6 linked regions of the Kluyveromyces lactis genome follow. The protein of the gene in region 1 interacts with the protein of each later gene in a biochemical or structural test. Links are inferred from orthologs where the notes say so. Each region holds a gene or a part of one and is shown in the gene's direction. Other genes may lie near its edges.

The links.
Region 2: the proteins of BOS1 (region 1) and GET3 form a complex in vitro, tested with the Saccharomyces cerevisiae proteins (2 studies listed by BioGRID, with this or other methods). The link is inferred for Kluyveromyces lactis from reciprocal best matches to the Saccharomyces cerevisiae genes BOS1 and GET3.
Region 3: the proteins of BOS1 (region 1) and BET1 form a complex in vitro, tested with the Saccharomyces cerevisiae proteins (2 studies listed by BioGRID). The link is inferred for Kluyveromyces lactis from reciprocal best matches to the Saccharomyces cerevisiae genes BOS1 and BET1.
Region 4: the proteins of BOS1 (region 1) and SFT1 form a complex in vitro, tested with the Saccharomyces cerevisiae proteins (2 studies listed by BioGRID). The link is inferred for Kluyveromyces lactis from reciprocal best matches to the Saccharomyces cerevisiae genes BOS1 and SFT1.
Region 5: the proteins of BOS1 (region 1) and SGT2 form a complex in vitro, tested with the Saccharomyces cerevisiae proteins (4 studies listed by BioGRID). The link is inferred for Kluyveromyces lactis from reciprocal best matches to the Saccharomyces cerevisiae genes BOS1 and SGT2.
Region 6: the proteins of BOS1 (region 1) and SEC22 form a complex in vitro, tested with the Saccharomyces cerevisiae proteins (3 studies listed by BioGRID). The link is inferred for Kluyveromyces lactis from reciprocal best matches to the Saccharomyces cerevisiae genes BOS1 and SEC22.

The regions. Positions count from the first base shown.
Region 1 is NC_006040.1:495,159-498,949, reverse strand, and holds BOS1 (Bos1p), read left to right. Parts: upstream 1-1,309; coding exon 1,310-1,312; intron 1,313-1,427; coding exon 1,428-2,171; downstream 2,172-3,791. Other genes in the region: cyclin-dependent protein serine/threonine kinase inhibiting protein SIC1, read right to left, coding at 1-603; FMP25 (Fmp25p), read right to left, coding at 2,358-3,791.
Region 2 is NC_006041.1:142,678-146,629, forward strand, and holds GET3 (guanine nucleotide exchange factor GET3), read left to right. Parts: upstream 1-2,089; coding exon 2,090-3,139; downstream 3,140-3,952. Other genes in the region: MRPS8 (mitochondrial 37S ribosomal protein uS8m), read left to right, coding at 1-247; BUG1 (Bug1p), read right to left, coding at 580-1,536; ATG16 (Atg16p), read right to left, coding at 3,592-3,952. UniProt on the Saccharomyces cerevisiae protein: ATPase required for the post-translational delivery of tail-anchored (TA) proteins to the endoplasmic reticulum. Recognizes and selectively binds the transmembrane domain of TA proteins in the cytosol.
Region 3 is NC_006040.1:1,198,278-1,201,636, forward strand, and holds BET1 (Bet1p), read left to right. Parts: upstream 1-2,051; coding exon 2,052-2,495; downstream 2,496-3,359. Other genes in the region: VAB2 (Vab2p), read left to right, coding at 1-769; iron-sulfur cluster assembly protein CFD1, read right to left, coding at 794-1,645; protein disulfide isomerase EPS1, read right to left, coding at 2,693-3,359. UniProt on the Saccharomyces cerevisiae protein: SNARE required for targeting and fusion of ER-derived transport vesicles with the Golgi complex.
Region 4 is NC_006038.1:1,175,220-1,178,493, forward strand, and holds SFT1 (Sft1p), read left to right. Parts: upstream 1-1,879; coding exon 1,880-1,915; intron 1,916-2,052; coding exon 2,053-2,310; downstream 2,311-3,274. Other genes in the region: RPL14A (60S ribosomal protein eL14), read right to left, coding at 334-462; CAP1 (Cap1p), read right to left, coding at 2,436-3,224. UniProt on the Saccharomyces cerevisiae protein: Vesicle SNARE required for retrograde transport within the Golgi complex.
Region 5 is NC_006040.1:103,842-107,618, reverse strand, and holds SGT2 (Sgt2p), read left to right. Parts: upstream 1-1,764; coding exon 1,765-2,772; downstream 2,773-3,777. Other genes in the region: ALG6 (dolichyl-P-Glc:Man(9)GlcNAc(2)-PP-dolichol alpha-1,3-glucosyltransferase), read left to right, coding at 1-883; KLLA0_D01133g (uncharacterized protein), read right to left, coding at 2,836-3,777. UniProt on the Saccharomyces cerevisiae protein: Co-chaperone that binds to the molecular chaperone Hsp70 (SSA1 and SSA2). Regulates Hsp70 ATPase activity. Required for recovery from heat shock.
Region 6 is NC_006042.1:1,884,820-1,888,491, reverse strand, and holds SEC22 (SNAP receptor SEC22), read left to right. Parts: upstream 1-2,119; coding exon 2,120-2,764; downstream 2,765-3,672. Other genes in the region: protein GET4, read left to right, coding at 88-996; polyphosphatase DDP1, read right to left, coding at 1,039-1,578; KLLA0_F20229g (uncharacterized protein), read left to right, coding at 3,097-3,672. UniProt on the Saccharomyces cerevisiae protein: Nonessential SNARE involved in targeting and fusion of ER-derived transport vesicles with the Golgi complex as well as Golgi-derived retrograde transport vesicles with the ER.

The DNA.
Region 1 (3,791 bases):
AAGAAATGGATTCTCTAAATTACTATGTTGGTTGACTGCCGTAGGTTGTTGTTCAATATGAATATTTTCTTCTTCGTTTTCTGATTGCGATGTATTCAGACCAGACTCGTTATGCCATTTTCTAGCAAGTTCAAAGGTGGTGATCTTGTCACTTGGAGTTCCTGGCTCTTGTTTAGCAAGTTTGAATTTGTTATTGACAGCATACTCATCATTGATATTATAACTTTGAACGCCTTTGAAAGACTCCATTATACCGGTTCTCTTTGGTGGTAGCAAAGTCCTGTTGTTTGAAGTTTCTTCTACTTGGAAATCCGATCCGAACAAGACCCTACTGACAGGTTGTAACTTCTCCTGGTCAAACTCTATCCTGCGTTTCGTATGTTTGTTCTTATGTGGGGTATATTCAGGTGTCTTTAATGCCGGGCATGGACTTGTTAAATTCATGGGTCTAGTAGGTGGCTGCAATCTATCCTTTACTCTAACTGTCCCCGGAGTAACCATGCCAGAGGAATCAGATTCCGCGGCTCGCTCTGGAGTTGCGAGCAGCAAATCTGTCTTATTTGATCTCTTATTCCTAGAACTTGGAGGGGTAGCTGGGGTCATTATTATGGAAATAAGAGTGTAATGCGTAGAATGCAAAAAAAAAAGAGGATAAACTCTAGTATTACCAATTGAAAGCTATTGATATTGTTTTCAGATGTATCGGTGTGTTGATGAGATCTAAATGAAAAGTAGCAAAGATGGTATAGAATGTATACTATACCGATGATATCCCTTTTTCTGTCTAAAACAAAACGGACTGAAAATCTGGCAACTTATAATGAAGCAAAAAGCAGAGTAGGTTGAAACCAGTTTCCAGTAACCTCACTATCGTCAAGAAGGAATTTGATATGAAGAGACTCTGATTCGATTACTTAGGTGCGTATGCAACCGCTCTATGCTGGATATGGTTCGCTGTTAAACTATCTTTATATATAGATATATGTGAGACTCAAAACCAGCATCTTTAATTTTTTTTTTAATGTGAACCACTAATAATATTGAACCAGCAACAATTTAGCAGTCATACTTGAGTAGCAGTAAATAACTTCTAAACAAGGATTGCGTCTGTGAGCAGTGGAACCACTGGAAACTAAGAAAGTTTATGGAACATTCATACGCATTGGGATAATTCAGATCGATCAGAATTGACGATTGACGCTCAACGTTTGACTCAGCATTTTCCTGTATTTCTCAAGAGTATTCCTTTCTTGAATCTTTTGGATCTTCATTAGCGATCAAGAATTTTTGCGATCACAACAGGGCTAAGATGGTATGTTTCGCTGGAGCGCTGCTCTAATTGTATTTCTACATTTATAGACACGCGTCGCGTATGTGTTACTTATTTACTAACTTACCTTAATTATTGTTTCCCACGATATCACTAGAACGCGTTGTATAATCATGCCATCAAGCAGCGAAGTCTTCTAAATAAAGACTTGGGTAAATTTGAGAAAGAGCTCGTAACAGCGCCGATCTCTTTGCAAGGGGCGATCGCCACAACCCTTGTTTCTTTCGAGAAAACGCTTCATCAGTACAAGGAACAATACAAGCAATATCAAATAAATAGTTCAGATGACAACGACGAAACTAAACTAAAGTATGAGACGAGACTTCAGACCTTAACACAGGATTACGAAGATGCAAAAGAGAAATTTACCGAATTGAAGCAAAAATACTCAGAAATTAATGCGAGAGATCAGTTGTTCAACCAGCAAGCATCAATGGTGGAAGAGACCGTGATGAATAAAAGGAACATCAATGCTCCTCCGCAAACATCTTTCGGAATAGGCGCCTTAGATCAGAACAGTGAAAGAATGACTATCAATTCGGCGGCTGGTTTACCACTATATGAAGGATTGAGGAAAGAGAACTCGATCTTTGAGAGAGGCAACGCGCACTTGGACAGAATATTACAGATGGGACAGGAATCTTTGGAAGATATCATGGAACAGAACAGGGTCCTTCAGAGATTGCAGTCTCAGATGACAAAATCTCTACACGTACTCGGAGTATCAAATGAAACAATCGAAAAGATTAATAAGAGGTTGTTCAAGGACAAACTCATTTTTTACATTGGTCTCCTATTGTTAATCTTAGGAATTTATTTCGTCCTAAAATGGTTCGGCTGATCAATGTTTGTAATAAAGATTTATCAAAGTAACTCGGAGATATATTAATAAATATAGACTTTCTTTGTAACTACCACCATTATAAAAATAAAGACGTAATATGTTCTCATGAAAACGTAGTAACGTATACTGAGAAGAGGATGTATTTACAAGATTTTAAAAATCAGGTCTAATGAGAGTCACTCGCTATGCCTTCCAGAATAAACAAGATGCTTCCTTACCAGCTCTTAGACTCTGTTCGTCTGAAATAACTAGTTTATTATTTTCGTCGTACAATATGTCTAGGTTCTTGCCGTTGAACCTTTCACCTGGTTCTAACAATCTAGGAATGTAAGCTGGTTTGTCCCATTTGATCTTCTTCCCATTACCAAGTTGGCCATTTTCATTATAACCCCAGCACATAATCTCACCATTCTTTAATCTTACAAAAGCATGCTGCTCTCCACAATACCAATCTCTGATCAAGATGCGCTTATCAGAATTTACGGTATTATCCTTGAGATCGTTTATCACCTTCATTCGAGTAGGAGTAGATTGCGAATGCTTGAAATGACCATTACCTAATTGCCCTTGGATACCATTACCAAAGGCAAAATAAGTGATGTTATCCTTGTCATTGTCAATATCAATTGCAAAGTCCTTGTTTTTGAAATATCTATGAACATCCTGTGGAAGTATACTAACAAAGGACGTGTTTCCAGAACAATTAATTTCGACACACTTCAAGAAATCATGTTTCTCAAAGTGTCCGCTAAAGCTGCTAACCTTCTTTGGGAACGGTACATATTCCATATCGTAGCTAATGCTTTGGCCGAGTTGGCCATAAGTATTTAGACCAAAAGAATAAAGTTCCCCGACTGAGTCACAAGCAAGGGTGTGATAGTCTCCACATGCGATTTTGGAAATTGATCTGGATGTGACATGATCACCAGCAATACCGGTATTTAATAGTTCGATTTCGTATACCCTATTCAATTCGGGGTATGGATCAAATTGCGAGAACGTTGGGATACCGAATTGTCCTTTAGATCTTTCATTTTCAACGTGTTTAGTACCAGTCGCGCATGTATAAGCTTTCCCTTTATTCGAAAGAAGAACCAAATGGTTTGAACCAACGTCAAATTGGATCACTTTTTTTTCACCAGAGTAACGGAACGCAGATCTTGTGTCTAGCTTCCAAGAGTAACGGCAGTACGTTTTCCAAGGAAGCAACAGTGACCTTGACCAACTAATTTTATCTGAAAATAAGCTCTTATCCTTTAAAGGAATGACTAGCACTTCACCTTTTTTATTCAAACCATAAGCGACATCGTTCGAAACTTTGATTTGTACCAAGTTTTGATCTTTCAACAGTAAATTACATTTACTATTATCCCACTCAAATAGATTTCCGTCCTTGTCTACGGCTAGGTTTCCGTAACTTCCATCATCAGTTAAGCAAACATCTCTTAGTTTCATACCATCGAAAAATGGAACTCTCAATGGGAACTTGGTGACGGCTTTTTTGGAATCAGTTCCCAATCTTTGTCCCCAATAATACAACCCCACAACTGAACTATCAGCCGAGTCAGCTGGAACTACAGGTATATCGGTCAGTTTCCTACGCTCTTTTTTTTCCTT
Region 2 (3,952 bases), on another chromosome or scaffold:
GTTGGGTTTAAAATACAGGGAAAACAAGCCAGTTATTTCTAGTTGTAGATTGATATCAAAACCAAACTTGAGAATCAGTCTAGATGCACATGATTTGAAGAAACTATGTTCAGGTACCTCCGTCAGATTGATCAAACCTTTGGCTCCTGGTGAATTAATTTTAGTGAAATCTGGGAATGAAATTATGGATATCGATGATGCTATCGCCAAGAAAGTCGGTGGTGAAGTGCTATGCAGAATTAGGTGAATCATCAGTAAAATTCCCAGCAATAAAGACCATTAGTCATATAATCAAAAACAAAGTGCAGAATATTTCATCAACATGTGTGATGGACCATCGAAACTTCCAATATCATCAAAAGGAAATCCACCTCATATTCCATGTATATAGTAACATTCAATCAGTGCGATTTTCCTTTTAGCGACAATCATCAATCGTGTCAAATATCAGTTTTATACATACACTAATATAATTGTATACTTGTACATTATAGCATTATATTTGCCTAAACGAGACAAATGAGACAAATCATAAAAAAATCATAGCTCTGTGGTAATAGTAACAAGGCTGAAACTTACTTAAAATTCCACAACTGGGCCAACACCAACTGATCTCCAATTTGTCATATCGACATTCCAGTTCTTCCACTTAGCTAACATAACAGGGTCTGTCGTTGGATGCTGAATCTGTCTCGATGGCTCGAATTTGGATGGAGAATGTCTATCAAAGGAAGAGAATTCCACAGGGGTTAGTTGTGGTGATTGTGTTGCTCTAAGCTGCTCTACTTCTTGTCTAGACGTAGATAGCTCCTGCTGAGCGGACAGCAATTGTACAGTTTTATCATTGAGTTGAGATTTCATGATGTTTATCTGTTCTTCAAGCTCTTCTATGGAGCTTTCTTGATCTATGTTGACAAACTTCAATTGCTTTACTTGATCTTTTAGCTTTGAAACTTCTTCCTTGAGGTTTATTACTTCATCTTGGCTTTTCTGTTCTTGTATCGTCGAAAGGAAATCTTTCTCTTTATCATCATTCCCGCCAAACAATTCTTCAACTTCATCTGTACTTTTTGCCTCTATTGGTTCTTCCTCTTTTTGTTGAACTGCAAAAGCTTCTTTAGACACTTCCTCGGTTGGGTTGGGTATATCAGTTGCTTCCTTCTCGAGGACTTCCTCCTCGGAGTCTTTCTTGTTCTCCGCAGACTCTTTTTCAGACTTCTCCACAGACTCCTTTTCAAACTTCTCTTCGTTGTTGTCATTGCCCTTTGCATCAGCATTTATCTCAGCCTTTTCTTCAGCTTTTGTCTCTTCCACGATTGGTTGTTCATCTGAATGAACCGGACTCTCTGATACATTAGTATCAGTCGGTTCCAATTCAGTTTCAGTTTCAGTTTTGACTTCAGCTGCTTCAAGATCTTCCTTGTCCTTCTTCTTCTTATTCTTCTTGTTTTTATTCTTCTTCTTTAACTCTTCAACCCTTATCTTGGCTTCTTCGAGCTTTCTGGCTCTTTCTTCCTCGGGGGATAGTTCAGACATAATCAACTGTTCGAATGTGTGTACTCACTTGCATTGAAGACGCCAATTGGTTTTAATATTTAGCTCGCAATTGTTTCAGATTTGGCATTCACCATGTAAATTCTTATTTCATATGGGGCAACTTTTTTTTTTGATCTAAACGTGTCGTTATGGTTCACACATATTTAATAAGAAAGGAATCACCATCATTGAGGCAAACATCGATCAAATAATATCGTTTAATTTCACAATGTTTCAAAGCCATTTAGGTTCGAAAGAGAACAAGATTCAAGACTTTTTGAGAAGCAAACTCAAAGTATTTGTACCATGTTCTTTATTATTCGGTATGCGATTGGTAAATATCAAATTATTATCACCACCGTATATAGTGACGTGTTCTTTAAAAGAACGTAGAAGAAGTCTTCAGCAAGATATTTAGCATTTGTTGTCACTTTTAGTGGCGACATGCGTAGATAAACAGAAGTTTTACAACTAAGACGCCCTCTTATTTCAACTGTAGGAATAACAATCAGTAAGTGTGTAAACCTGAGACCAAGTAAAGCGGAAAAGTACAATGGATTTAACAGTTGAACCAGATCTAAACTCTTTGATAACTTCCTCAACACACAGATGGATATTTGTCGGTGGTAAGGGTGGTGTCGGTAAGACGACGTCATCTTGTTCGATTGCCATTCAAATGGCTTTGGCACAACCAGAGAAACAATATCTATTGATTTCTACAGATCCTGCACACAATTTAAGCGACGCCTTCGGTGAGAAGTTTGGTAAAGATGCAAGAAAAGTCACTGGGATGAACAACTTGTCATGTATGGAGATTGACCCTTCTGCCGCTTTGAAGGATATGAATGATATGGCTGTTGCCAATAATGCAACTGGATCGGGAGAGTTCAGTGATCTTTTGCAAGGTGGTGCACTATCTGAATTGACAGGATCGATTCCAGGTATTGATGAGGCACTTTCTTTCATGGAAGTGATGAAACACATCAAAAACCAAGAACAGGGTGAAGGTGACAGGTATGATACCGTTATTTTTGATACCGCACCAACAGGTCACACTCTAAGGTTTTTACAGTTACCAAGCACTCTATCTAAACTCTTGGAGAAATTCGGAGAAATCACTGCAAGATTGGGACCAATGTTGAATTCTTTGGCTGGTGCCAATAACGTCGATCTTGTTGGTAAAATGAGTGAATTGAAGTCTAATGTGGAAAAAATCAAGGAACAATTCACCAATCCTGATATGACAACTTTTGTCTGTGTTTGTATCAGTGAGTTCTTGTCTTTGTACGAAACTGAAAGATTGGTACAGGAATTGATCTCATACGATATGGACGTGAACTCCATCATTGTAAACCAGTTATTATTTGCTGAGTATGACGAAGGAGACAGCTGTAAAAGGTGCCAATCCAGATGGAAGATGCAAAAGAAGTATTTGGACCAAATTGATGAATTGTACGAAGATTTCCATATCGTTAAGATGCCATTGTGTGCAGGTGAAATTAGAGGTTTAAACAACTTGAAAAAATTCTCCCAATTCTTGAGAAAACCATACGATCCAGTTGCAGACAGCAAAGTGATTTATGAATTGGAACAACAAGACTGAAAGGAAGATAAATATGAATCATTGATACCTAGCATTACACGGCCAATCTATAATTTTTTATTATTTGTACACTAAATAATTGCAGAGCAGATTCTAAATTGAATCATTGCATCGAATTAGCCTCTATAATGTAGCATTAAACATCTACTTTAGTTGCAACATGAAAACATTATTACTTCAGGCTTCGTGATAGTAAACGAAAAGATCCGAAAGCTAAAAAAATTTTGGTAAATTGAAATGCTCCAGGGGAGGTTCGAACTCTCGACCTTCAGATTATGAGACTGACGCTCTTCCGACTGAGCTACTGAAGCAAATTTCTTGGAAAACTGAATTTTTAAAGAGTTTCATGCACTTGGGATTTGATGTACCATTGAGTCGCAGGGAATTAACTTCAAATCACTTATAAAACTCGCAACTCATTTATAACTTGAGGCATATAGAGTATGTCATATCTATTTAAGTCTCGTATTCATGATATCGGCCTCTCTTTGTGCTTTTAGTAACCATCGTTCAATCAAGGTGTCATATTCTGCTTGAATGTGTGTCAACCTTTCCTGTAAAAGATTGTTTTCTATGTTGATGCTGATCAATTCGTCATTCAAACGCTCAGCATCTCGATTTTTTACACTAATAACATCATGTAGTTGCCTTATTTCCTCTTCCTTTTCCGTAAGATGTTCCCTTAGATTCTTTATGCTGTTTTTAAGTCGTAGTTGGTCTTCGTTATCTTCCTCATTATCTCCAGACAGAAGTGAGACCGTTTCGAAAAGATGCGAAAATCTCTTATCAACCAAATCCCTAACTTTCAATTTA
Region 3 (3,359 bases), about 700 kb from region 1:
TGATTATTCTAAACAGTTGCAATCATTGCCTTTGCTTCCCTCTTCCTCTTCATTGAGACAAGATCATATATTCTCCAATGTGGCCAAGGAAGTAAATCAAATCAGTGACGATGTTGCCATAATTTATTCGAGACTTCAGGAAGAAATCGATACAGAACAATCGCAGACGAAAGAAGTAAATAACAAGATCAACCACTCGGTAAAAAAACTAGAGTCTAGCTTTTCTAAGTTAGTAAAACTACGATCAAAATTCACTAAGGATTCGGATAAACAGTTAAAACAGTTCGAAAGCAAATATTCTGACATTGATAAGAAGGTACGAATAATCAGAGATGTGAATGAAGAATTATTAGACTACGTAACTAGAAACGGTAGTATAAAAGTTGATGCGACGCAATTCAGCAAAATTTCAAAGCTGTTGCAAGAAAGGTTCCCAGAGAGTAGTAACACGACAGAAACCGAAGCGAATAAGGACAATAGTGGGCAGTCACAGAACGAAGCTAATTCCGAGAGTTTGAACAGCTCTTATTCGAGGCAAAGTACAAATGGAAGCCAAAATAATGCTAAAAAAGATTATCATAGTACCAAAGGAAATTCAGCGGACTCAAACACCACCAAATCGTACCGTCAGTCGATATCCTCGGCGCCATTAGCACTGTCATCAATCCGGAGTACATCAAGGCCATCAATCGCTACAACTCTTGAGCATATATGTATCACAGAACCGTTCACTAGACCTCGAGGCATGAGCAAATCGGCTGACTTATGAAAAGTTTCATGTCAAATTTACCCATTATTGATCTGTTCCACTTTTTACTTCACCGTTCAGTACATTATCTAATATCTTTGAGAAAATGACATACAATCCAGAATCCTTGTAGAGATCAACTAAGCTCTCTTTGAACCCAGTCTGTTTCTCAATCAACTCGACAAACGTCGGATCAATTGGAATATTCCCCAGGTACGGAACGTTATATTCGCTGGCTAATTTGAAACCGCCTCCTCTAGAGAAGATATCTGTACATTCAGCACAATGAGGACATATAAATCCGGACATATTCTCGATGACACCGAGTATATTGAAGTTGACTTTCTTACAGAAATTGATTTCCTTTCTCACGTCTGCCGTAGCGACACCTTGAGGCGTGGTAACAATAATAGCACCATCAGGTGCAGCCCACCTCAACTCTTCTGCGATAGATATATGTTCATCCGAAGTTCCGGGCGGTGTATCGATAATCAAATAGTCCAAATCTCCCCAATCCACATCTTTTATAAATTGTTTAATCATAGCACTTTTCTTAGGACCACGCCATACCACACTATTACCTCTATCATCCAAAAGAAAACCCAAGGACATGAGTTTCAATTCCCCTCCTGATGTCGTAGGAACACTAACGGGTATCCAACCCTTAGAAGCCTGATAAACCTGTTTATTTTCTAAACCAAACATTCTAGGCAACGACGGTCCAGTTAGATCAATGTCTAAAACACCCACTTTGTATCCCTTTAAACATAAAGTTAATGCTGTCTGTGTGGTGACAGATGACTTACCAACACCACCTTTACCAGAAAGGACCAATATAATGTGCTTGATGTCCTTTAAGGACTCAGGCATACCCAATAATTCGGTTTCAGCTGACATCGAGATACAATTGATTATGATCCTGGGACACTAAACGTACCAGCCACTGCAGATATGACTGTATATGCTCACAGTGGACAGAATACTTATAAAAGGGTATACTGCAAATACTTTTCTCAGCCGTTTAAACAGTAGGTTGACTAATACATTTAACTCTTAGCTTAACTAGGATTTCATGATGATAATGATACCTTTGTCAGAGCGAAGGGGAAACCTTCGAGGACAATATCACGTGATTAAACTTCAACAAAAAGTTTTCGTTAAGCGAATCGATTTGGTAGTAGCTTACAGATGGACTAGGAAGTTCCAAGGTGAAACTGCACTTAATTCCCTATGGTTAGATCTGAGTATCTTGACAAATCTACACTTTGTATTTTATTGTTGAGGCACTAGAAATAATTAAGGTATGAGTTCAAACTATAGTGGAATGCAAGGTGATTTGACACAGCGAGATGCGAGTAGGACGCAATTGTTTGCGGGTACTGACTTCTCTAAGTATAAACAACAACAGGATAGACCAAGTTCGCCGTTTGATAGACCATCCCCAGGGGTAGATTATTCTCAAGCAACACTTTCGCAGCTCGAGTCTCAAAGTGATGAACAAATGAATACCATGAGTGAAAAGATCAACGCACTAAAGAATTTATCTCTACGAATGGGAGATGAGATTCGTGGTAGCAATCAGACCTTAGATCAGTTAGGAAACGTTTTTGAACAGACTAGCAACCGTTTGAAAAGGACTTTCAAGAGAATGATGGTGATGGCTCAGAATTCTCGCATTCCATTAAAAATATGGTTCATAATATTTGGTGTTCTGACACTTTTGTTCTTCTACGTCTGGATACGTTGAGAGAGCGAGAGCGAAATAAAAAACCACAAAAGGGTCATGTACTGAAGAGTATCCCATCGAGCATGTATATCTAATTCGTATTGGTTAAACGCATTCCTTCACGCATTATATGTACCATTAAAAAGATATATTAATAAATCGTAACTATCAGTATTAGGTTGAAATATAAGATTATTTATAGGAAGAATTCCTGTTCCTCAATCCATGAGCTTAGCTTCCTTCCCGAGGATACCATGAGTATCCCGTTTTGCAGCGTAACGTCTTTTCAGTTTATAATGATGAATGGTTCTGGGTATTTTCCATAACGCCAAGAATGTCACCACAACAAATAAGTAATTGATTCCGCTAAATTCGCGGAGGTAGTCAATTAATCTGAGCAATCCACTGAGTGGAGTTCTCAAAAAGATGCGTTCAATACGAAGATCAGGGTGTCTTGCGGGGAAATTCAGAATGGAGAGGACTTCGGGCAACGTCTCTAGGGTGATGTATTGTCCAGAAGCATCCTTTTCGTAATAGATGGCTTTTTGCTTGTCCACGACAATGATATCACCAGTCTTGAACTTCCTGAAGTAAACATTTAGACCTTTATTATTCAAGAGAGAAGGGGATTCATTAATGTCCAAATAGGCAAATATGACCTTGTGATTATAACTGTAATTTATCTCTTTTCTCATGGCAGTGACTATATCAACGGATGGTGCGTTTTTGTTCTTAAGCTTTTGCACCAGTTTTTTCTTTTCTTCTCTGGCCGTCTTAAGACCTTCGTACACCGCCTCGTTACGCAATATTTCATAACTATGTGCCGCTACTCGTAGGCCTTCGACGATTTTCTTTGAACCTTCTTCAAACTTATTATTCTTCTTA
Region 4 (3,274 bases), on another chromosome or scaffold:
AGAGCCATCGAGTATTAACGACACATTCCTAACCTTACCAGAAGGAGGGAAAACAAACGTAGTCTAAACCTCTCTCTCGATGTCTGTTCAGTACAATAGTTTTTCATTCATTTCTCAAAGTATACTTTCTTTAACTCGGGAAACAGTTTATCATGAATCATTCTTTCCTCTTCCTCATATTATTCTTCGGTTCGATCCTATACATCTATGCAACTTTCCCAAATAAAGCATAAGAATACCAGATCGCAGTGTGATCGATATCTGTTCTTATTTCAAATGGAAAGATGGTACTGTACAGGGAATCTCCGTTTCATTATAATCTGTAAAACATACTCTCTTTTGGTCAATGATTTCAACAATAGTGGCCAACTTGCCGGCGGATTGGCCTTGTTTAACCAAAACAACACGGCCAACTTCGACCAATCTCCAGTTAGAAGCTTTAACAACAGAATCAGTGGACATCTTTCACTTGGTTCTTCTTCCGTTCTGTAAATCAAGACCAAACCTAATCTAATATAACGTAATAGTAAGTATTAAACCGTTATTATAGTATACCTTCAAATAGTGTAACAGATAAAGTAGTCAAACAATTTTGTTAAACCTTGGTTCCAAACTCAAACTTCCAACGCAGCCCTGTGTGTCTGTGCGTGTCTATCCGGTGAAGCTGGAATTCGCTATTGTCAGAATCCAGGACGCAGAGTACCTTGGAGTGCTTATTGATGAAAAAGTTGCGTGGGTAACAATGTATGTGGGCTACGGGTTTAAAATACATACCTATTCCAATTTAGGTATTATATTACAGGACGAATTCATTTTCATCCTAACACAGGCGCAACAAAATATGTAATGGTTGGGTGTTTAAAGGACATTATTGAAATATAATGAGATGTACAGGTGTATAAAAGGGCAGTCCCACGAAAATTGTTATCAATGTCCGCATGCTGATTGAATTATATATAAAGAGAGCGTATGAGATGAGGTATGCTGTTTGTATTCACACGATTAAACGGTGGTATTGTTAGACAGTTAATATTAGGATTGTGTTTCAAGTATGAAGCTTGTTCGTCACTTTAATAATAATAGTAACAGCATGAGCAGTAGCCACTGCTATTACTATACCTAGTTTTAGTGATGATTGAGATTTAGCAGCAGGAAGTATGGATTTGAGAAGAATTCTTATCATAATGTTTCGTGGTTTTGGGGTTCGCTTCTTTTCTTTTGAATGATGTTTTATAATTTGCGATCGAGGGCAAGTCATCTCGGGACATGCCTAGTTCCATTATGGGAGTCTTGTGGTATGCGAATAACTTTCGGTCTGACTATTATAGAAAAGAATCCTTTCATTACAACACATTCATTATAACTAATTCTTCTCTTTCTTTCACCTCAGCAGAGGTGAGGAGATAATTATCGTGTACTTCTGCACCTAGTCATGTTCCAATTGTGATCATACTTATATATACCACATATTTCTCAGGTATGGAGGATAAAGCGAACCATAACTATCTTTACGAGATGAAAACAGTTGCCTAACGTTGATTTCATATGAAAATTATAAAACTAACAAACACCAAGATCTACTCTGATTTCGATAATTATGGTTTTCGCTTTGTACCGTTAACAGCGTCATGTATAGTATTTGTATTCACCGTAGCTTTCTTGTACCTTTCGCTATGCTTCGCTGACTGAAATGAAATATCATTTCTAACGTGTTTTGAAGATTCAATTCCCATTATTATGAGCGATAGAATTGAAACACTGTCTGTACCTTAAAAGGCAGGATCAAAGTGCACCTCAGAGTTTATATTATAGCGAAACGTTCACATTTAGCAACTAGAACGCGATATAGAGCCACTCTTGCATAAAGTGAACTCTCACCATGTCGGATTCCAAGTACTCACAGGTGGAAAATGATGTATGTTCTACCAAAAAGACGTTTGATGGCAGAATAGGCTTGAACCTACAGGCGCAGTATCCTTACCGACTGTACGGTATGCAAGTGCCACTTTAAGATCGAAATTTACTAACGTAACGCTCAAACATTTTCTTTAGAATAATCAAAGGTTAGACGAATTGGCCAATAAACTATCTACATTCAGAAATATCAACCAAGATATTGGAAATCAAGCCGCAAATGACAGCTCCCTTATCGACAATATACAGAACTCATTCGGTCAACTTTTCCTTAATGTCAAGAACTCATCTACAAGGCTCCAGAGATCTATGAATGCCGGTAATAATATATGGCGTATGGTGGGTGTATCATTATTGTGTTTCTTCATATTGTACACGATATATAAGGTATTTTAAGAACCTTTTGCTTACTGACCGCAAGTACTCTTCTTTATAGGAAGAAGTTTGAATAAGCAGAAGATATTCGTTGTATATACACATATGTATACATTCAGGTAATGTAATGTCATAGCATCATCCTTTCATGCACCTTGAGCAGCATCTCTTCCCAATCTGTAATTACCGATCCCTTGTCCCCAGTTGATCTTGGCTCTAGTCACGGGTAATCTTCTTCTCAATCCCTTGAACTGTGTTTCATTCATGTACTGGAACTTATTGATGAGATTCTTTTCAAACTCGTTCTCAAACTGCTTGATGCTTACTATTGGTGAATCCGTCTGTGCTGATTCCAAGGAAGCAGTTGATTTGAAACGAACGTTACCGTCTTCGAAGTAATGAGCATCGACGGAGACTTCGCCAGAGATCGTATCCCCATCGACATCATACACATATTCTGATAACCAGTAACCAGTCCAGAAATCACCTAAACTTTTCTTGTTACTGACAACGATTATGGCATATTGGTCGCTCTCTGGAATCTTAAACACGTTGAACACAGCTGTATCAGGGAAGAAGTTTGAAACGTATTTAGACAATTCATCGTAAAGGTCTGATTGTACCTGAGTGGCATCTTCACTGGTATATTCCTCAATATCACTAGCTTCGCGGGTAATATGGTCTACGGCAAATAAAACCTTGTTTACTGGATCGAAATATTTACTTCCAGATTTATTGTATTCAGACACAAGATATCTCTCTTCACCCTTAGCAGCTGGCACTCTGTGCTTCTCATTGAATTCTTGGATAATTGAAGCAATCTGTTGCTTGCTTTGACCATCGCTTAACACTTGTAGATTATCGTAAACCAAAGAGATTTCCTCTGGAGGGGAATCGAATACAATATCTCTCACAATCTTCTCAAATTCAGACATAATATGATTTTCACAGTGTGAATTGATGTTCACCACAATTTACCTTAAAA
Region 5 (3,777 bases), about 390 kb from region 1:
ATCCACATACTCTCCAGGGATCAACTTACCTAGGTTATTTGCGATCTCTGTTTCAACAGCTCTTGCATTCATTGGTTCTTTCGGTCCAATCTATATCTTTGGAGGATACAAGAACTTAGTGCAATCAATGCACAGGATTTTTCCATTTGCCAGGGGTATCTTTGAAGATAAAGTTGCGAATTTTTGGTGCGTTTCTAATATTTTCATCAAATATAGAAATCTATTCACTCAGAAGGATCTTCAATTATACTCATTACTCGCAACAGTTATTGGGCTTTTACCATCATTCATTATAACATTTTTATACCCGAAGAGACATTTACTACCATATGCTTTGGCCGCATGTTCGATGTCATTCTTCTTATTCAGCTTCCAGGTTCATGAAAAGACAATCTTATTACCTTTACTTCCTATTACACTCTTGTACACGTCAAGAGATTGGAATGTTCTATCATTGGTTTGTTGGATTAACAACGTGGCATTGTTTACACTCTGGCCATTACTGAAAAAGGACAATCTAGTATTGCAATATGGAGTCATGTTCATGTTTAGCAATTGGTTGATCGGTAACTTCAGTTTCGTCACACCACGCTTCCTCCCAAAATTTTTGACACCAGGGCCATCCATCAGTGATATAGATGTTGATTATAGACGGGCAAGTTTACTACCCAAGAGCCTAATATGGAGATTAATCATTGTTGGCTCATATATTGCAATGGGGATTATTCATTTTCTAGACTATTACGTCTCCCCGCCATCAAAATACCCTGATTTATGGGTGCTTGCCAATTGTTCCTTGGGCTTCTCATGTTTTGTGACATTTTGGATATGGAACAATTATAAATTATTCGAAATGAGAAACAGCACTTTGCAAGATTTATAGATGTTAAAATTTATAATAGCAGTAATGATACGGGGCGTACCTTGCAAGAGCAAAACCGGGATATATATTTCACTCCTCTGTTTAATCATTTAGGATTCTACTTACACTTTAATTAGTATTCATATATCGAATGTCAGTTTCGATCAAAAATAAACAAAGACAAAAAGCACCAGTATAAGACTCGTAAATGAGAAAAACAATTCTTCGTAATGAAATTCAATATAGTAAAACTCTCCATGCTGGATGCACCGTATTTGTGTAACGGCATACTCACTAAATAGGTAAAGTCTGAATATTACTTTAAAAGTATCATATGATCTGTTGTAGCTGTTATATAGAACGAAAAGTAGTAACCGTCACGAAATCTTATTCCTCGTGGCCCAATGGTCACGGCGTCTGGCTACGATGTTAGCTACTTCTGAAACCAGAAGATTCCAGGTTCGAGTCCTGGCGGGGAAGATTTTGTTTTTGATTAACTTTTTCCTTCTTTCAAGGAGCCAGCAACTCTTTGAACTTCCTTTCCATGGTTGATGGTTCCAAACTATTAGTAGCTTCTATCAAATATCACTACTTCTCAATTAAGACGGCACGAGTCAGCTTAAAAATGCTAACGATGTGAAATTGACGTGTCTCTGTGAATCTTTCGTCTTCTGTTGCCTTCTCTAACCGAAGGTTTTTCCGTACTTATCATTTTTTCGCCATTCACATTCAGGAAAAAGTTTATTATAATAGTGCTTAAATGACAAGTTGCCTGGATTTTATGTACTTTCAAAGAAGAGTTATCATTGACTCGTCCTTTGTTACTGCTTCATCTTATCGTATACAGCGGTTTGTGATCCTTATTTCATCTTAAAGCACTGTCAAAAGTTTAGAAAATCCGAATGTCCCTATCTAATAAGGAAATTGCTGCTTTGATTGTTGACTTTTTGTCATCATCGTCTTCTTCAGTAAACGAAGACTATGTTGATTCGTTGAATGTTGCCATCGACTGTATCACTGAGGCCTTCCAATTTGAAAGAGATGAGACTGATTCTTTAATCTCTGGTCCTTTTAATGGCAAGAAATTACCTGAACTATTAGCCTCAGCTCCCTCTTCTGGAGGCGTTTCTGGTGAACCAGTGAAGGTTCATATTCCAGTTGAAGATGCAGCAGCTAAGGCCAAGGCTGAAGAATTAAAGCTACAGGGTAACAAGGCCATGGCTGCTAAGAAATTTGATGAGGCTATTGAAAAATACACTGCTGCTATCGAAGTTTCTCCATCTAACGCTGTTTACTACTCGAACAGGGCTGCAGCTTATTCTTCTTTGAAGCAGTACGAACAGGCCGTTAAGGACGCCGAGCAAGCTATTGAAGTTGATCCTACATATTCTAAGGGTTTTTCTAGACTTGGATTTGCGAAGTATGCTTTGAATAAGCCTGAAGAAGCTTTAGATGCTTACAAGAAGGTCCTAGATATCGAAGGGGAAAAAGCTACTGACGTTATGAAAAGAGATTACGAAACTGCCAAGAAGAAGGTAGAAACCTCAATGAACTTAGAGAAGAGCTCTACCAGCGCTTCTTCTGAAGATGTTTCTGACAAATCTGCGACTGAAGGTCCTGGTGCAGGCGCTGGTGGCTTACCAGATCTTTCAAGCTTGTTAGGTGGTGGCGGTCTAGGCGGTGGTTTAGGAGCACTGCTAAACAACCCTCAAGTTATGCAAGCCGCTGAAAAGATGATGCAAAATCCAGGTCTAATGCAGGATATGATGTCCAATCCAGCAATGAAGCAAATGGCCAACCAATTCTCATCTGGTGGCGGCATGCCAGATTTGAGTCAAATGATGAATGACCCATCTATTAGAGACATGGCCAAAAACATGTTTGGTGGCGGCAACGGCAGCCAGCAATAACCAGTATACCCAAACTTTTGCTTGTCCTTTTTGACTGTATATATTTGATCTATATATGACTAGTTAAACATGCCCTTTCATGGTATCAATCAATTGTTGCATGATTTGTTTATTTTCCCTGATTCTTTGATCAACTATGGATTTAACGATATGATCGTGGTAAAACTGCTCTTTGAATTCGATGAATAGATTTATCCCCACTGCGATCGATTCATGTGTTGTTTTGATTTCACCGCCAATTTTCTTAAGGTTCAAAGAGCTCATTTTCAGTTGATTGGATAACTTATTCCTAAATTTAGACCTTTTACCTTCAATGTAGGTATCTATAAAATTTCTGTTTGCTGAAGAAGGAGGCGCCTTGTCATTTGGGAAATTTTTCTTCCACTCTTTCTTCAGTTCCATTAATTCACCAAAATGTTTCCACCATAAAGTTGTCTTTGCGAGAAGAGACTCAAAGTTATTAAGTAAAGTGACAACAGAGTGCTCTAGATATTCCAAGTTTCGAGTAAACTCATAATATGAAAGATCATAAGACCAAGCGCAGTTTGTATTTTCAAAACTTTTTGCTACACCTTTTTGCGACATTTGGTTCCCCAAAGATAGGAAAGAGTTTCGCATCGTTATGACATCTCTGTGTTTGATTTGTTGTACTATCGCAAGTTTCTTCAAAATAATCAAACAATTTCTCAGCTTCTGAAACTCAGCTAGGTTGTATTTCAAGAAAGTTTGAATGCCGTTTATCTCCTCCGGTTCTAACTTTATGAACCGTTCCGACTCAGATAAGTAGGGTGTAGGAACGTCTAATAACACTTTCAGTTCTTCTTCATCTTTACCTAACCATAACTTACCACGGGTATTGACATAACTAAAGAGCATATCAAGCTTTTTGAATGTATGATAACTTTGCAATCTCAGGACGCCGGGAACCCCATATATTCCTAAAAGTCTCAGCTCGTTAGTAAGAAGTTGAACTGGGTGAAAGCTGCATGGGTACATAATCTTCAA
Region 6 (3,672 bases), on another chromosome or scaffold:
GTTATTTTGTACTTATCAAGAGGCCTTTTGAATCCGTTAGGCGAGTTTTTACATACCTTAATTGTTTTTTGATCGAGACACTTAGAGATGAGTGATAAATTAACGAAGACCTTACAGAGATTCAATGCGAGAATTGAAGCTGGTGATTATTATGAAGCCCATCAGACGTTAAGAACCATTGCTAATAGATATGTGCGGGCCAAAAAGTATGATGAATCGATTGATTTGATTTCTCATGCAGCCGGTGCGTTTTTGAGGTCCAAGCAAGGTGGTTCTGGTTCAGATTTGATCTTCTATCTACTTGAAGTTTACGATTTGGCATCGGTTCCATGCAATGACTCTTCGGTCTCTAGACTCATTCAATTACTCGTCCTCGTTGACGGCCAGGAACCAAATTTAAAGGATGTAGTGACAGGGATGAACAATTGGTCTGTGAAACATAGTGAATATAAGTTTGGTGACCCATACTTACATTCAGCGATCGCTACAAAATTACTTGAAGGTGGATATACATACGAAGCGGAAAGATATCTAGTGCTAGGTACTCATGACTCGATGAAGCGGTATGTGGATCTACTTTGGGACTGGTATCAGCAATCCGGTGAGGACTCCAGTTTCCCCGATTTCATATCAAGAATGATATTCAACTATTTGTTCATCTTCAATATCGAATATGCATTGGAGGGATCTAAAGAACTTTTAAAACGGTTTACCAATCACAAGACAGATGTAAAATTTGAGTTAACAGAGAAAGGCCCATATAAGATTGATTATTTCTCATCGTGGGAATCGTTGAACTTTTTACAGTTGTTAATAATCGCATGTCAAACTCAAGAAACTATTCTTTTCCAGAATCTAAAATCACAATACTCAACTCTTGCCAACAAATACAACTCTGAGCTACAATTCTTGGGCCAAGAATACTTCGGTATCAAGGTCGAGAAACCAATCAACTTCTTGCAAGATATGATGTCTGGTTTCTTTGGAGGTAAATAATAATAGTCTTCGGTATAAACATACTCTATGTTATATATAATGCTAACTTTTCTTGATGCTACTTCTATTCAGAGCCTCAATGAGCTCTGGCCTCTTGGCACGGGTCAAGTTTTCTTTGGCCTGTTCGTAGGAGAACCATTGACGGTTTCTTGTCTTCACTTCAGGATAATTGTCCTCCAATTTAACATTAATCATCTCGAAGAAATGGAATTCGGACCTGGGAGGCCATTTGTTAACAGTTTCGTCATTCGAACTCTCGAATGCTTCCAAATCTGGGTTCCAGTCCTTTGGAGGTCTCATATCCTCAATGGAACCAAGTGCTTTCACTATATCGCCTGTGGCACCAGCTTCTTCCCAGGTCTCTCTTCTTGCAGCGGACTCAAAGTCAGGTTCATCACTTTCAATACCACCCTTTGGCAACACCCATCTCTTCTTATGAGCGGATGACTGGACCATTAAGACATTCTCTCGGCTTTCATCCAGTATTATACATCCTGCAACGAGTCTAGCACCAGTGACACTTGAATACAACTGATTCTCACGTCCTACTCTTGAGGTGTCGGTCTTGATAAAGTCTGACATCTTCGGTTCCTTAATACTATATATATAGACTGTTTCTCAGACCGATTTCATCAACAGGGTACACAAGACACATAGCTGTGACTTACCAGCTGTGGTCAGTTTGAAGGATACATGAACGTGCGGCCACGTATGAAATACACGTTGATCGGTGGTTCAATTGTGAATCTGACAGAGACTCTTGTTTCAGGGTAATTATTAAATAATACGTGTTAGGACCGAATCATTAAGCGCAACACCACAGAAGAAACAGCTGGGAAACCGTCTCTGGCAGATACGTTCTTCCATTCTCGTAGCCCTCATATGGTTAGGGCACCATGCTAGTCAGTATGGGGTTCATACTCCCACTTTTTAGCCTTGTATTTGTCCACGTTATTCGATTTAAACTCGTCTTTTCAACATGGAATGAAATCAATCGAATCAAAACCAAGTTTCCATCACTAATGAATGAAACTTCAGCAAATTAGAAAACGTATTGCCCTGTACCAAGCACTGAACGATCTTTCAGTTTTAGCAAGTGATTTACAAGGCAATAGGCACGGGCATGATTCGTTCTACGTTGATTTTCAGAGAAGATGGGTTACCATTGTGTGCCTCAGTGGATGATGACACTGATCCCAGTTTACAAGAGCAAAAGAAGAAGGTGAAGATCCTAATATCAAGATTCACTCCGACGTCAGCAAACGAGGCTACAGTGGAAAGTGGTGATTTCGAGATCCATTATATCAGATTGAACACCGTGGTCTATATTGTGGTCGCAGAAAGGAACTATCCACGTAATTTGGCATTCTCATACTTGGCAGATATACAACAAGAATTCGAACACAGTTACGGGGGACAACTCTCGAAATCGAACGTTAGACCGTATGAGTTCGTATCCTTCGACAACTTCTTACAAAAGACCAAGAAAGTTTACAACGACAAAAGAGTACAGGGGAACATGGACCAATTGAATCAGGATCTAAAAGGTGTCAAACAAATCATGACAAAAAACATCGAAGATCTATTGTACAGAGGTGATTCCTTGGATAAGATGAGTGATATGAGTGCGTCCCTAAGACAAGACGCTAAAAAGTACAGAGCCTCCGCACAAAAGATCAACTTCGACCTATTGATTAGCCAGTACGCGCCAATTGCGATCATAGCATTCTTTTTCGTATTCTTATTGTGGTGGATGTTCTTAAGATGAAGTATTCGCTGTACAGAAGTATCGATACACTTATGTACACTTAAATATGTATATAATTCCACCCTGTATAAACTTCAGCAAAAAAATGTACAAATATTGGCTCAGTATTGCTCTGAATGTGCCCTGACTAACGTATGTCTCATCATCATCAATACGCCTTTTTGCACTTGAACGATTCTTTTCTCAACATGAAAAACCTTTAAAAAGCAGATGATCTTCCTTAAGGGAAGAGGGAAATATCATGTAAGAAAGTAAAGTAAAATAGAGTTTACAAGTCGGTATACAACACGATAGATACATTGAGGTTATTGTAGTACTCGTGAATAGACAATATGGGAGACAATGATGCAGATGCCGTTGATTTCAGAGCTTTGATCGATGAGTTTCGATTTAGCAGGGTCTTGAACTCTAATCCGCAAACCAAGCAAATTTCATTATTAGGTACGATTAAGGGTCAGGATGCTATCGTGACTCTAGAGAAGACACACTTCCAGTTTGATAAAGTGGTGAACAATCCCAATTCGTCTACGTTGTCGTTGCACCAATGTGAATCTGAATATTCTTGTATGAATTCCATTCAGACGTTGAAACCAATAGCAAATAACGACATTTATTTCTGGGGGATGTCTGTGATGAAGCAGGACTTGGAGTTAAACCCCACGGCAAAGATCAACTTGATATGGCCTGCCACACAGGTTCATATCGAGAAGTACGATAAGCAGTTGTGCCATATGGTGAGGGAAACCCCAGAGATATATAAGCGTATCGTGAAGCCTTATGTGGATGATATGGTCAATAACGGTAGGTTGCAATGGGTTCAGAACATCTTGTATAACGGAGCAGAGAGTGACAGGGTCGTGTTCAAGTACTTCGACCAAGAGAGCCCCAAAGACGGCTTTGTGGTGCTC